2 linked regions of the Lonchura striata genome follow. The protein of the gene in region 1 interacts with the protein of each later gene in a pairwise test. Links are inferred from orthologs where the notes say so. Each region holds a gene or a part of one and is shown in the gene's direction. Other genes may lie near its edges.

Region 1 (7,480 bases):
TGTGTGCTCCCCCTGTGCCGTTCTGCCACTTCTGGGCTGTGCCAATGTGTGTTTTTGGTATCTCCCTGCAGAGCAACAGAGAGAACGAGTTCTACAGCAAGCTGGCCAAGCTGCACCTGGAGAAATACAACTTCCCTGTGGAGATGATCATCTGCCTCCCCAACGGCACGGTGGTGAGGCTGGGCTCTTCCCATGGAATGTTCTCTGCAGGGTCTCCCAGACCTGGGACTGCCCTTGAGCCTTTGTCCCTCCACCTGGAAATCTGGAACAAATGTGTTTTAGTTCAGAGACAGAAGAGCAGCAGCTCTGGGCAGGGGCAGAACAGACTTGAACCAACTGTGACTCCTCACTGTCCCTGAGGTTTGGGAAGCCACTGTAGCTTTGTTTCCTGCACCCATGGCCCTTTGTGCTCATCCTTTGAAGAAAATGTCCTGATCAGCACCTACCAGCACATTTATCTCCCCAAATGGGTCACAGCAGATCAGCTGTTAACCAGCTCTGGCTCTGCTGTGCTCCCAGCAGCTCCCACTGCCCTTCCCTCTGGATTTGGGGAGCAGTTGCTAACACATGGCAGCTTGGTGCTGGCTGGGTCAGCTGCTGGGCTGGGCTAGTCCTGCCCAGACACTGCTGGTCACAGCTGCAGGGTCCCCTTGCTGTCCCCATGAGGCTGTGGGCTGTGACAGTGGGTCAGGGTCCCCCTTTGCCATCTCTGGGGCAGCAGGAAGTGTTGGAAGCTCAGGTGCACCCCAGGCTCCATCTCCCCAGCTCCTGCTCACACACATGAGCTGAGCCTCCATGATTTTTCCCAAATCACCTTCATCTTCTTCTTAACCTAAGCAAAGGGTCAGCACCCTTGGGGGAAGATCACACATTCTTCTGTGACTGTGAAAGTCAGACCCGAATTCTGGTTCCTGAATTAGCACTTGGAAAGAATTAGATATTCTGTAGGAGCTGTTACAGCTCTGTCCTGGCTGCAGGCCAAGGCAGTGGATGGGGAATTGTTCTGACCCTTAGAAGTCTCCTCTCATCTGTTCTCTTTGCCAGATTCACCACATCAATGCCAACTATTTCCTGGACATTACTTCTATGAAGCCTGAAGATGCTGAAAGCAGCATCTTTAGTTTCTCAACCAATTTTGAAGACCCTTCAACTGCAACTTACCTCCAGTTCCTGAAGGAAGGGCTGCACAGAGCAAAGCCATACCTGCAGCCCTAAAAACAGGCACCTGAACACCCCACTGAGATGGCCAAAGACTTCAGAGATCTATTTTGGTTACAGCAAAGCCTCCTCATCTCCGTGCCAGACATTGGTGTTGAGCTGCAGGCAGTCCCAGGCCAGGACCTTGGTTTGAGCCTGAGCTCCAGTTTACACAGCCTGCCCTTCTCAGTTCAGGCACATTTCTACAGCAGTGCAAGTACTTGAACCCATTCCCAGTGCACCTGCCTGGCTGTGCCACCCAGCCTCATTTCTTTGCAGCTCCTTTCAGCCTGGTGGGACTGGTGTAACCACGGGCCTGCTGATCTCCAGGACTTGCTGAGTGCAGGGAGCAGCACTGCCACTGTGACCGAACACTCGTGGTGAGGACAGCCTGCTGTCCTGGGGCAGCTCTGGACACTGCCTGACAGTGACAATCTGTGTGACAGGACGGTGGCAGCCGCGTGTGACAGCCCTGAGCAGCCCCCAGCGCCCTGTGTCACCTGGTGGCCTCACTCGGGCAGGGTCTGTGCCCCGAGGGTGGCACGGGGACCAGCAGTGGGCATCAGAGGGGTGAGGTGAGGATGAGTTTGAGCCCCCAGGAGGCTGGAGGACACAGCAGTGAGCAGTGTCCCACCCATCCATCCCTCCAGGGCTCCCTCCCCAGCCGCTCTGGGAGCTTCTCCCAGTGCCCCCTTGGAGCTCCTGCTCTGTCCCTGTTTGCTTTGAGCTTCCAGGTTGTGCTGGGTGAGGAACCATGAAGTTCCCTCTGGGAACTCCCCTGAGAGCCTCACCTGGGTGAGGACTGGGCAGTTCTAAAAGCCAGAAGTACAAACAGTTATTTTCAGGAATTTTTTCCAAAGAGATTGTTCAGACATTAAGCCATTTTCCCTTACCTGAAGCCACCCTGAGCAGTTGCTCCCACTCTGTGCCAATGCCTGGATACAGAATGAGCATAATTTGTAATTTGGAGAAGGAAAGGTTCAGTGGAACGGGTTTTAAGGCATATTCCTACAGACATGTGAGGGGACAAAGCATCCTCAGTAGCTGCCTGCAGCCAGCCCTGGCTGGTGATGCTTTTTCTGCTCTCTGAAGCACAATTTTGTTGGACCAAATCAAGTTTAGGGAAAAGCTTTTTTTTTTTTTTTTCCCTCCCTTCTGACGAGGTATTTTCATTGCTGAGCTCCAGGTGCTGGGAGGAGCCTGGGGGTGGCAGTTACCCTGTCCCCACCATGCCCCAGCTTTCCTGTCCATGGCCTGGGGACTGAGCTTAGCTGCACCTCTGGGCTGTCACTTCACTAATTGCTCTAGTGAGATTAATTAATGGTCCCGGGATGTTTCTCAGTGTTGGCTTTGTAACTATGCATCAGCTCTGCACTTTCCCACAGCCCAGTGGGACAAGCTGGGTCTGGCTGTGCCTCGGGGCAGCACTGCAGAGTTCTGTCACCCCTTCGGGCACCTCCATCCCTGCAGGGCTGCAGTGTTTGCAATCCCGCAGATCCCCTGTTTATTCCCACGAGCCTGGAGAGTGGCAGAGGGAGCCCCAAAGCCACCCCAAGCCGAGGGAGCCCCAAAGCCACCCCCAAGCCGAGCAGCCTGGGGGATCCCGAGGGGACACCGTATCCCTCTCGCTGTCAGGGTGCCCGGCTGCTCCGCGGCTGCCGCCCGGGTGTCCGCGGGTCGGTGCCAGCGCTGTGCCCGCCCGTTCGCTCCGTTCCTCGGTGGCGGGTCCCGCCGCCGCCCCTGCCGCGCCTGGTGACGCCCCGGCCCGAAAGCGCGGCGGGCCCGGGCCGATGTCGGCCGGGAGGGGCGGCGGAGCGGCCCCGGTAAAAACATCCGTGGGGGCGGCGGAGCAGTCCCGGTAAAAACATCCGTGCAGCCTCAGCCCGGCCTCCGCTCTCCTTCCTCCGCCGGGGCTGCGGGTGGGCGAGGGGTGAGCCGGGCGCGCTGCCCCGCACCGGGGTGGCCTCAATGTCCTTCTTTACTCCGGGGTGTCCCTTTACAGTGTACCTTTACACCGGGGTGGCCCCAGTGTCTTCTTTACACCGGGGTATCCCCAATATTCTCTTTGCACGGGGGTGTCCCTGGATGTCCCCCCTGTGCCAGGGTGTCTCCACTGTCCCCTTATCCCCGGGCTGTCCCTGTCCCCGGGCTCTCCCGGGGCTGTCCCCTGTCCCCGGGCTATTCCTGTCCCCGGGCTATTCCTGTCCCCGGGTTGTCCCTTTCCCCGGGCTGTCCCTTGTCCCCGGGCTATCCCTGTCCCCGTACTGTCCCCGTCCCCGGGCTGTCCCCGGGCTCTCCCGGGGCTGTCCCCTGTCCCCGGGCTGTCCCTTTCCCCGGGCTGTCCCCTTATCCCCGGGCTGTCCCCTTATCCCCGGGCTGTCCCTGTCCCCGTGCTGTCCCCGTCCCCGGGCTCTCCCGGGGCTGTCCCCTGTCCCCGGGCTCTCCCTGTCCCCGGGCTCTCCCTGTCCCCGGGCTGTCCCCTGTCCCCGGGCTGTCCCCTGTCCCCGGGCTCTCCCTGTCCCCGGGCTCTCCCTGTCCCCGGGCTGTCCCCTGTCCCCGGGCTGTCCCCTGTCCCCGGGCTATCCCTGTCCCCGGGCTCTCCCCTTTCCCTGGGCTCTCCCCTTATCCCTGGGCTGTCCCTTTCCCCGGGCTGTCCCCGGGCTCTCCCGGGACTGTCCCCTGTCCCCAGGCTGTCCCTGTCGCCGGGCTCTCCCTGTCCCCAGGCTATCCCTGTCCCCGGGCTCTCCCTTTCCCCGGGCTCTCCCGGGACTGTCCCCTGTCCCCGGGCTGTCCCCTGTCCCCGGGCTCTCCCTTTCCCCGGGCTCTCCCGGGACTGTCCCCTGTCCCCGGGCTGTCCCCTGTCCCCAGGCTGTCCCTGTCGCCGGGCTCTCCCTGTCCCCGGACTCTCCCCTTTCCCCGGGCTGTCCCTTTCCCCGGGCTGTCCCCGGGCTCTCCCTGTTCCCGGGCTCTCCCTGTCCCCGGGCTCTCCCCTTATCCCCGGGACTGTCCCCTGTCCCCGGGCTGTCCCTGTCGCCGGGCTCTCCCTGTCCCCGGGCTCTCCCTGTCCCCGGGCTCTCCCCTTATCCCCGGGACTGTTCTCTGTCCCCGGGCTGTCCCTGTCCCCGGGCTGTCCCGGGGCTGTCCCCTGTCCCCGGGCTCTCCCCTTATCCCCGGGCTCTCCCTGTCCCGGGGCTGTCCCGGGCTGTCCCGGCCCGGCGCAGGCGCCGCGGCCCCGGAAGGCGCGGGGCGGGCCCCGGTTCTGTTCCGGGCGGTGGCGGCGGAGCGGCCGCGGCCGGCGCTGGGAGCGGCGCCGCCGGCCCGCAGGTACCGGGGCTGTGCCGTGCCGTGCCGTGCTGTTCTGGGCCGGGCCGGGCCGCAGCGCTCCTTGTGTGCTGCAGTGAGCGAGCGGAGCGGGTGCGATGAGCGGCCGGCGCTGAGCCAGCGGAGATGGACGCGGAGGCCGTAAGTGACACGGGCCGGGACACCGGGACACTGCCCCGGACACCCGGACACTGCCCCGGCACCTGCTCCTAGAGCGGCCCCGGGCACCTGTGCCAGCCCCGGGTACCTGGCCTGGTCCCTGTCCCGGGTATGTGTCCCAGCCCCGGGGACCTGCCCCGGTGACCTGTCCCAGCTCCAGGTACCTGTCCCAGCCCCAGGTACCTGTCCCAGCTCCAGGTACCTGTCCCAGCCCCAGGTACCTGTCCCAGCCCCAGGTACCTGTCCCAGCCCCGGGTATTTGTCCCAGCCCTGGGGACCTGTCCCGGGTCCCTGTCCCGGTGACCTGTCCCAGTCCCGGGTACGTGTCCCAGCCCTGGGGACCTGTCCCAGCCCCGGGGACCTGTCCTGGTGACCTGTCCCAGCCCCAGGTACCTGTCCTGGGCCCCTGTCCCCGGTACCTGTCCCAGCCCCCGGTACCTGTCCCAGCCCCAGGTACCTGTCCCAGTCCCGGGTATGTGTCCCAGCCCTGGGGACCTGTCCCGGTCCCGGGGACCTGTCCTGGGTACCTGTCCCAGCCCCAGGTACCTGTCCTGGTGACCTGTCCCAGCCCCGGGGGCCGCCCCAGAACCTTCCCCCAGCACCTTTCCCCACCAGCAGCTCCCAGGCACTGCCCCAGCCAAGATCTGTCCTCCCCTTGCCCATCGCAGAGGTTGGGTCTGAAGGGCTCCTCAGGAATTTCAGGAGTGTCAGCATGGAGCAGCGCTCAGGGACAGCACAGAACGAGCTGCAGCAATAAATCAATTATCAGGTGTGCTGTGGGCTGAGCTTTGTCAGTGTGGTGTTCTCTATGCAGAGCCTTGTGCTGTTCCTGTCACGGGCAGAGCACTTCACCTTTTGGGTCCAGCTCAGAAGTGTCCTGGGAGCTCTAAAGCAGCTGCTGTTTCTCAGAGCACTCCCCAGGGCTGCTCCCCATGGGACAGGCACTGGATAGACCTGTCACCTGTCACCCAAAAATGTTCAGCTCATCCCAGCTCAGGTGGGAAGGGACCTCTGGAGGTCACCTGGTCCAGCCCTGCTCAGGCAGGGTCTCCTGGAGCAGGTTCCTCAGCAGCAGGTGCAGGGAAGGAGACTCACAGCTGCCCTGGGGTATTTAACAGTGCTTCTGCTAAAGGTGGTGTGAAAGCAGGAGTGTCCCGTGAATGACACTCTCTTTTGATGTCATTTTCCTCCTGGGCCCTTGGTGTGGTGCTGTTTTCCTCCTTATGCCAAATTTCCTTTGTTAAAATGCCTGTTGAGAGTGCCTGTTACTGAGTGCTTCCAGTTTGCAGTCCTGAAGACACTGCACCCATGTCCAAAATGCCCCTGTCTGGCTGTCACCTGTGCCCAGCTGAACAGTTTTGTGAAACGGGGACCTCAGTTATCACAGATTACAAGTGAAGAGATAAAGAGTCAGACATCAGACTCTTGGCAGTTGAGGAGAATTTCCAGATTAATGAGTGGAGCTATTAACGTGTGCTGTGGGTCCTTGCAGACCATCCCCATCTGGCAGAACAAGCCCCATGGCTCGGCTCGCAGCGTGGTCAGGATGATCGGCTCCAACCTGCCCCTGAAGCCCTGTCCCAGGGCCACCTTCGAGGTGAGAGACCCCTGGGCAGGGGGTGGCTGGGGGAGCTGGGGCAGGACAAGGCACTGCCATCAGCTGCTGTGTTGGCCCCACACATCTGCAGGGTTGTAGACACAAAACCTGCACCAGTACAGTTAATAAATGTATTTATTTATTATTATTTATTTCTTCTTTAATTCTGTTCTTGTAAAGTGATCACTGGCAGCCTGGGGAAATCCCTGCTCAGGCAGTGTCTGAGCTGGAGGAGAGGGAAGGGTGGAGCTGCTGAGGCAGGGTTTTGCTGTGTGACCTCCAAGGGGCCCTCTGGGCCTGTTCCAGGATTGTGGAGTCCCCGATGTCACCCCTGGAGCGCAGGGCTGGCACTTGGAGCAGCAGAGGGTGGCACGTGGCCTTGGCAGCGCCTGGCCTGGGGCAGGTGTCCCCTCCTGCCTCGCACACACAGCAGCAAGGAGCAGGAGCTGGCCCAGGGAAGTGCCCAGACCCGAAGGATTTATGTCCCGGCTCCAAAAAATAAAAAAATGGTGCAAACTAAAGGAAACCTGCTGGAATTGCTGTTGTGCATGTGGCAGACACAGCTGCTCACGGCACAGGGCCTCTGACAGCACATCTGGGGCAGCTCCAGGAGAACAAACAGCATCTCCTCAGCAGCATTTCCTTCCTGCCAGGTGCTGCCAAGTGTCTCAGATCTGTATCTGGGTGATGTGCCCCCCGTGCCCACCTTGGCTGACATCGTGTGGATCGCAGCGGATGATGAGGAGACCTACGCCAGGGTCAGGTTGGTTTTCATCTGCTGCTTTCTGCCACAGAACTCAGGCCAGACCCTGCTCAGATGACCACAGCTCCCAGTCCCCTCTGGGTCTGATGTAGTGCCTCTTAAAAGACATTTTTCCCCAGAGAAGGGGAAAAAATTGACAAAGTCCCTGGAGAGGAATTCCTGTAGGAAGTGCCAGCAGCCTGTGCCATGCCATGGCACTCCCTGGTCTGTGCACAGTAACCCCCTGCTCCAAGGTGTTTTTTGGTCAGGAAGTGGAAGGGCTGAGTTCTCCCAGGACTGAAATGCCCTGTCCAGCCTGGCCTTGGACACTTCCAGGGATCCAGGGGCAGCCACAATTTCCTGTGCTTCAGAGAGCACCTCTGGTGGTACACAGAGGCTTCACTTGTTTTGTTGGAGGCTCTGCTGCCCTCAGAGCGGGTCAGGCTTTGCCATGGAGAGGTTTG
Region 2 (8,013 bases), on another chromosome or scaffold:
ACCAATTAAAAGCACAAAACCAGATGTAGAAAAGAAGTAGCATAACATGAGGATGACAATAGTATAAATATGAAGTAGTAAGCTAAAACAGGCAAGCTACAAAGTGGGTTCCATCTTACAGGCATAAACAAAGGCCTACATCTATTAGCAGTAAGAGGCAAGGAAGACAACCATGATGCAACAGGAAAGAAAGCAGTGTGCCATATGGATAGTCAGTATGTATTCAGTGCTTTCCCCTGACAATGGCAGGTTAAATGGACAGGTGATAGCATGGATTACAGACAATGCTGACAAGCTATAAGCATCCAGCACAACAATATCTAGTGAATTTCACCTTGCAATGTTCAAAAACTTGTCAAAGCAATTTTTGAAATATTGATAATTAATTTCTGAAACTTGGTCAATGGGATTCAAATTCCCAGGAATAAAAGAAGGAATACGATGACACAAAGCACTGGAAATAGTCCAAAACACTTATCCTGCCCTAAAATATTAAGGTGATCCTTAATAATTCCAGGTTCCAAGACTCCGATGACTGAACATGAAAGAGCAATCATTCAACAAAATGACTACAGTAAAACAAATATTTATAGTTCACTTTGTAAGTCATTGTTTCCTCTGTAGCCTAAATACTTAAAGTACTTGAGACTCATCAATATCTTGCCCTTTCAATGACCTGTCTGTTTTTGCAGAAGAAAGTGACTGAAATCAACCTGAAAGAGCACAGAGTAACACCCAGTTCCTGGATTAGCTTCTTTAGTTTGTGGCACTAAGGAAAACCACCATATTTGAACAACCTCCAGCTGATCTGTTATCTAAAAGACAAATACTTCAAAACATATTTTTATATGAGTTTACAGAATTATTTCCAGGCAAGCTTCATACTTATTTCTTTCAGACTATGTTGCACTATACCTTTCTTCACAAAACACAAATATTTCACAATTGGTTTATGTGCCAAGAACAGACAGGGTTCATTCCAAAAGAAACTGCTGGACAGCAAGAATGAAATCATTAGCAAATTCTTTTCTCATGCTCTGTATACATGTCATTTTCAGAAGCAGAAGTTACATGTTAATTGCTTTTAGTAAGCAGTATAATACCTTTCTTAAAATATCGATCTTTGTGGTATTTATCCTCTCCTTGGTGCCACCTACAGTAAAAATAGTTTAATTCCCAAAAAATTTCCATAACTCAATGACTACAATGAAGAGCCCCGAGTGACAGTAATACTGCCATTAAAAATGGTCCTTCTCCTGTGCCTCAGCAAAACGATTACAAGGATGAGCAGCAGTGATAGACAAGATTACCAAGACATCCAAAGAGCAAAGAATTACATTTCACTGCATAAAGCATGAAGGGGTTGGAATTTCATAGGTTCATTTCAATGAAACCCAGAAATTAGCAATGCTGGAGAGCTTTCTTACTGATATGGAAATATGGAGGAATTCCTTGGCTTAGAAATGAGGAGGGCTACGTTTCCAAGCCTCCTAGAGATTGTTTGTCCCTACCTTTCCCAAACACTTTCGCAGGCTCTGTTCAATACTCTCATATCAAATATCAAGTCTACAAAGCTGAGAGATAATACCACCTATAGATTACAAAAAGTTCGTTAAATAAATACAAAAGCTCTGGAATTTCTACACATAAAGTATAATATCCAGTAATTATGAACAAGACCCCTTTGTCACGCTTTTTAGTGAGTCCTACACATGAAAGGTTGAAAGAAAATCAGATGCAACTGCTTTCAAATTCAAATTCCTCTATGAGTTTTTGCAATGTTGCATTTATCCAAGTCCCCTTCAGAACATGAGCTTTTGCTCTTTAAAGGAAATAGGATATTAATTTTTTTTTTTTTTTTTTTGCTGAAGGTTTCTCTCACTCATTTAGGATCCCTACAAACATAAGAGAATGACTTAATGGGATTGATGGAGCAGATTACCCTTAACAAAGAACAAACAAAGATATGAAATCTGAAAAATGAAAGGTATAGTCTCTAAATTCAAAAGACATAACTTTAAGAAGTATAAAATTTTCAAACAACCATAGATTCAAAGGAATACCAGCCACATAAAAAATGAAATGCATAAAGACCAGGCTCCTCCTTATTTTAGCAAGAACTAGGGCAAGCATGTCTCCTCAGTCTTTTAGACTACCACATGACCCAACCTAATAAAATTACATCCACAAGGAAACATAATTTAAAAAGTAACAAAGGAAGATAAAGCAAAACAAACCCCATTATCACAACAGCCAAGTGGGCAGAAGAATCTTTGGATAAAGGTAGAGATTCTGTTCCAAACTGACACAGACCAGCTACAAGCAAAGTAAATATGCATTTGTCAGAGGTCATACAGCCAGAAACAGGAGACTGTTTTTTGGTGTGGAAGCTACAAATAATGGAGCACTCCAGTACTAACAAAACCACCTGTTTGGAAAGATATGAAGAGAGAGATAAATATGAGTCAATACTACAGGGATAATCTAAGCTAGTACTGGTATGAAATTTAAAGCAGGAATTGAAAATCATACATACTTGCAACAGAAATTGCTAAAGCTTTCTTAAAAATATAGCCCCATTGTATTTACCTGAACATGCAAAACCTATTAATCAGATTTCATTCATGCTATCCTATCTTGACAGCTAAGGACAGAGCAAAAAAAAAAAAAAAAACAAAACACCCCCAAAAAACATGTTTCTGCACTAGTTTAATCAAAAGCCTTTGCTCAGCAATGATTATACCTGCAGAGTGCACTATGATACCACTGAGAGGTAAGTGAAACCCTTCAACACCCATAGATCACAAGGAATTATTATATGACAAACACCTGCACTTCCCTGCTGGACAGACAGACCTCCCCACCAGCTGCTGTGCGGAGTCTTTCTGCTACAGCTTTGAGAGACAACTGCAGGTTAAGTCTCACAAACAAAAGGGTGTGTTTGTCTGAAAAAGCATTTAAAATGTCCAACTTTCCCCCCAGATATCTCTCTGTGTAACAACGCCGAGTTCCTACACACAGTTATCAAATTGTAGCTAGTGACCTCTACGAAGCACATTATTTGCATTCAGCAACAATCAGAACTTTTAGACCTGATGTGCAGATAACTGAATTGAGTCATTTTTATCACCCAGGTAAAAGCCAGTGGGGATCAGAAGACATAATTCCTATTAATATTTGTAAGTCTTGCCTTCACAAGAGCTGCAGAGCACTCTGAGGACAGCATGTTAATATTAATGCAGTACTGCTTATGCTGTTAGGCAGAGATCAATGCACTACGATTGATTTCAGCATGCAAACTCTATTCACCCTCAATATTTGGAATTTCAACAGCTCGTTAAACAAAATGAATACACTCACCCAGCAAGTTATTTATTTATGACCACTACAGAAGAACCTGAGAAGGGCAGCAGTATCACTAAAGGTGCACAAAGCAAGCAGCGTAGTTTTACAGAAAATAAAATAAAACCACCGTAACCATTACGGCTCTTTTTCCCTCTCATCCGCCAACTCTCTCCTTCAAAGCGTCCTTAAAAAACTTCCCACATTATCTCCACAGGAGCTTGTATTTACATTACTCCCCGTGACCTGTCACCTTCTCATCACAGTAGGTCCCCTGCACGAACAAAAGCTTCGGCCCAGCACCTCGAGGCGCTTCCACGGTCCTGCCGGCACCTGCCCTGCCCGGGAGAGCGGGGCCGCACCGAGCGGCCTGGACGTGCTTCCAGGCAAGCTTCCCCTCCCGCACCGCCCCTCGCCCGGGATCGGCCGCGCCAAGAGGGGCTGCCCAGGAAGGAAGGGATTGCCCAGGAGGAAGGAAGGGACTGCCCAAGGGGAAGGGGAGAACCGCGGCCGCCGCCACTGCCGCCGCCGCCACCCCCCCCGCCTCACCCGCCGCCGCGGCCGACGCGCTCCCTCACCCGCTGCTCGCGCGGCCGCTCGCGACCCTGCCTCGGCAGCCAATCCGCGGCCGGCTCGGCGCCGCTTCGGCCAATCCGCGGCCGGCTCGGCGCCGCCCCGGCCAATCGCGGGCCCGGCGGCGGGCGCGGGAGGCGGGACGTGGCGCGCGCTGCGGGGGTGAGGCGCTACCCGGCAGGCGCCGAGCCGGCAGCGAGCGGGGGAGCCGCCCCCCGCGCGGTCACGTGAGCGAGACCCGCCAATAGCGGCGGGACCCGCCAATAGAGGCGGGACGCCGGCTGCGCAGCCGGGATGGGCGGTGCCGGTCCCGGTCCCACAGCCACAGCCTTTAGCCCTAGCCCTAGCCTCAGCCTCGTGGGGTCGGTCTCGTCTCCCTAGCAACTAGCGAACGGGATAAAAGACACAGCTTCAAGCTGTGCCGGGGCAGGTTCAGGTTGGACAGTAGGAGGACTTTGTCCACAAAGCGGGTGATTAAACGTTGAGTTGGGCTGGCGTGCGAGGCGGTGGAGTCACCATCCCCGGAGGTGTTTGTGAAAGGCTGGATGTGGCACTCAGTGCCCTGGTCCCCATGACACGGTGGATGCTGAACCTGGTGCTGTTAGAGGTTTTTTCAGCCTTAACGATGCCTTGGTTTGATACCAAACCAAATCTAATTTCGGTATCTCGTGGGGTGGGAAATACCTGCTTCGGATTTTGACCCAGGAGATTCACACTCCCTGTCCATACAACATCAGGTGTGATTCACTCTAGATTGTTTTACAGAGCACGCTACACTTTATTTGGGCAGTAAATTCAAGTTCTGGTGGTAGCCGCCTTTGGACAAAAACAAACCCAAAACAAATGGAGCTTTGCGAGGGGTGTGTTTCTGTACTACAGCGCTCGGACTACACCTCCCTGCCTGCACCGCGCCCCTCCCGCGAACAAGAACCCCCACGATTGGCGGAGGGCCGCGCTGGGTACGCGCCAATCGCGGTGCGCGGTGCTGAGCGGTGCGGGGTCAGAGCGGGCTCCGGTGGGCGGTGCGGACGCTCTCGTTCCGGTGCTCATCCCGCGGTTCTTCCCGAGCCTCTTCCCGTGCTCCTCCCGCCGCTCTCCGCAGGCCGCCCCGCCCCGCGGGACATGGGGGCGCGGAGCTGAGCTGCGAGTCCGCCCGGGGACGGCTTCTGCGACGGTACGGCCCTGCCGGGGAGGGGAACAGGCCGCGCCGGGAAGGACCGTGAGGGGGCGGCGTGTGCGACCGAGACCCCCCTTGCCTTCCAAACACATCCCGGAGCTCCTGCTGCCGGTGACTGCGGGGCTGAGTCTCCGCCGGCCTGGGGAGCTGCGTCCCGGGCCTGGTCCCAGGCGGGCTGAGGCCTCGGCCGCCTGGGGAGGGCTGCAGCGGAGCTGTGGAAGTGCCTCCAGGGCCGCCCCGGCCACAGCGCACAGCGGAGGGGGAGACAGGGTTGTGGTGCCTGGGTCAGGCTTTGATCTCAAAGCTACGAACAGGGGACAGGGGCAGGCATCTAGCTCGCTGCTCTGCCACGCTCCTGAATTATAGATATCTTATAACTTTTAAGACCACCTATTTTTTTTTTTTTAATTAAAAAATACTGCGGGAAGCGGGCAGGGGCGCGAGTTTTAGTGGAATTGATTGTTGCAGGTCGCGGAGAAGGGTGAGGGTTTCAGAGCTGTCTCCGGAGTTGAAGCTTAGGAGAGATGGAGAAGAGTCTGAGGATAACAGAATCATGTAATGGTTTGGGTTGGAAGGGACCTTGAAGAACATCTAGTTCTAAGCCCCCTACCCTGAGCAGGAACACCTTCCACCAGACCACGTTGCTCAGAGCTCCATCCATGTTGGCCTTGAACACTTCTAGGCATGGGACATCCACAGCTTCTGGGTAACTTGTTCAAATGCATCACCACCCTTCCACTCTCTAATCCAAACCTGCTCCCTTTTCAGGTTAAAGACCTTAGCCCTTGTCCTGTCACGGTGTGCCTTTGTGAAGGCATATAGTGATATGCCTTTGTCCCTCTCCATCTTTCTTGGAGCTCCCTTCAGATGAGTGTAGCCTAATGGAATAGGAGAGGGTAAAACTTGGTTTTGTCGGTGGGTTTTTTCAGAGGATTAGAAGTAAAAAGACAAAAGGTGATCAGGATGGAAAGAATTATAAGAATAAGCTGGTGCTTGGAAGAAGTCGGAGACTTTGGTTAGCATCAGCTTCACTCCTGACTTGATTTTTAAGTCTTGAATAGTAAGTTCCTTCCTGTACTATGGAAAATATTTAATAACATGCAACAGAGTTGGTTTGGTTTTGTTTGGTGGTTTTGTTTGCTGAGGTTTTGTTTTGTTTCTTTTTATATTAGAGTTTTTCCTTTGGAAACACAAACTTGTATTGGTTGTGCTACTGTATTTCCCAGTTGATATCTTTTTGATTTCTGATAGTCCATAAAAATAGTCTGGAAGCTAATAATTGGCCTGTACTTTTCACTCTAGCACTCTCCTGAAGTAAGAAGCATTGACTTAGATGTTAACAGCATTTTTTCTCATTGAAAATTTCAGAAATTATCATAATCTAAACACATGTTTATGGTTCATTCTTTTTGATGAGTGTGGTAAATTTATGTTCTTCAGGGGCCAACCTTCAGTGAAGAAAAACTATTTAATGTTGGCAAATGATGCTAAAAGAATGTGATTGCTTAAAAATTGTGTTTGTTCTTTATTTGGGGGTAAATAAGTGATTTAACAAATTAACAATATGTATTCACTCCCACTTTTGTGCCTAAAGTTACTTGGCTGAGTTGGTACTGGCAACAACCAGGACTACAGTTAGCATTTAGTAGTTTCTGAGGCACAAGGAAACTGTTTTTTTTACTCCAAGATTTTAGCATTTTCTCTGAACAAACATATGCTTTTGTTGCCTGTTAAGTAGTTATTATTAAACAGCTCTGCAATCTGATACTCTCACACTAACACGTCTCCTTTGAAATCGATCTGGTGGCTTGGACTTCGACTGGAGCAAGGCGTGACCTGCTTGCTCTCTTTTATCGAGGGATACTTGTGAAAAGGAGAAAAAACAACTCAAACACAGCCTCTAAAGCCCTTTCTACCTTTGAATGTATGGCATTACATTAGTTATTTGATATATAGAATAGAGCTTAATGTTCACTGTTCTTGATGCACTGTTAGTATTTTGTTGATTTTTGTGGTTCATTTTTCTGTAAAATTTTTTGATTGCCAAAGCTACTCTGAAAAGATTTTGTTTTTTGCACCTTTACACAGAAGGATGTTTATAGACTTCTAGGGTGCCTTGTGAGAAGACTGGATTTATTGAAAACATTTGTCACTGGTGTAAGGAGAAAAAAACAACACACAAGACTCCATAAAGATTGACTGGTCTGAAATGATGCATACGAAACAAATAAAAATCTTATTATCCAAATATATCTGTTCTCTGCACAGGAAGTTTAGATTTCCAGTTTATAAATTCCAGGACCCACACATCCTTACCAATTCCATCCACCTACCATGAATTCTAGTCCTTGAGTTTTTATACCTTTTTGTTTTGAACAAATAATTGCCTTTGTCCTTTTTTTTGTCTCTGTTTTAATTGATGATAAATGTTGTGATAGTAGTAATATATTTTTTTTTCCAGCATGTATTTTGTATGAATGGTGCAGAAAAGATGAATTCTGCTATGAGTGAGGAGCCTGATGCACTATCCGTGGTTAACCAACTCCGAGATCTAGCGGCTGATCCATTGAACAGACGGGCCATTGTTCAGGATCAAGGATGCCTGCCAGGTCTTATTCTGTTTTTGGACCATCCCAACCCTCAGGTTGTTCATTCAGCTTTACTAGTAAGTATTCTGGATAAATTTCTGTGTTAGTAGGGCATTTTTAAACTTCACTAAACAAGTTGTTTAAACAAGCAGTTTACAAATGAAACTGTTTAAACATGAAAAATAATGCCTGGTTTTATATCGTGTTGATATTCATTGCATGTCTTTTTAACAAAAAACATGTATTTTAAAAATGACACATTGCAGGGGATTTTTGAAAAGATATTAATTTACTTTGCATTTTTTCCCTAGTACAGCTATTTCACTTTTTGAG

Evidence for each region.
Region 2: the proteins of MTFR1L (region 1) and ARMC1 interact in binary tests that used the Homo sapiens proteins (3 or more experiments, as listed by UniProt). The two-hybrid records come from large-scale screens. The link is inferred for Lonchura striata from reciprocal best matches to the Homo sapiens genes MTFR1L and ARMC1.

Annotation. Positions count from the first base shown.
Region 1 is NC_134628.1:449,220-456,699, reverse strand, and holds the start of MTFR1L (mitochondrial fission regulator 1-like), read left to right. Parts: upstream 1-4,475; 5' UTR 4,476-4,644; coding exon 4,645-4,659; intron 4,660-6,169; coding exon 6,170-6,274; intron 6,275-6,927; coding exon 6,928-7,037; intron 7,038-7,480. UniProt on the Homo sapiens protein: Mitochondrial protein required for adaptation of miochondrial dynamics to metabolic changes. Regulates mitochondrial morphology at steady state and mediates AMPK-dependent stress-induced mitochondrial fragmentation via the control of OPA1 levels.
Region 2 is NC_134603.1:35,405,488-35,413,500, forward strand, and holds the start of ARMC1 (armadillo repeat-containing protein 1), read left to right. Parts: upstream 1-4,901; 5' UTR 4,902-5,089; intron 5,090-7,553; 5' UTR 7,554-7,565; coding exon 7,566-7,757; intron 7,758-8,013.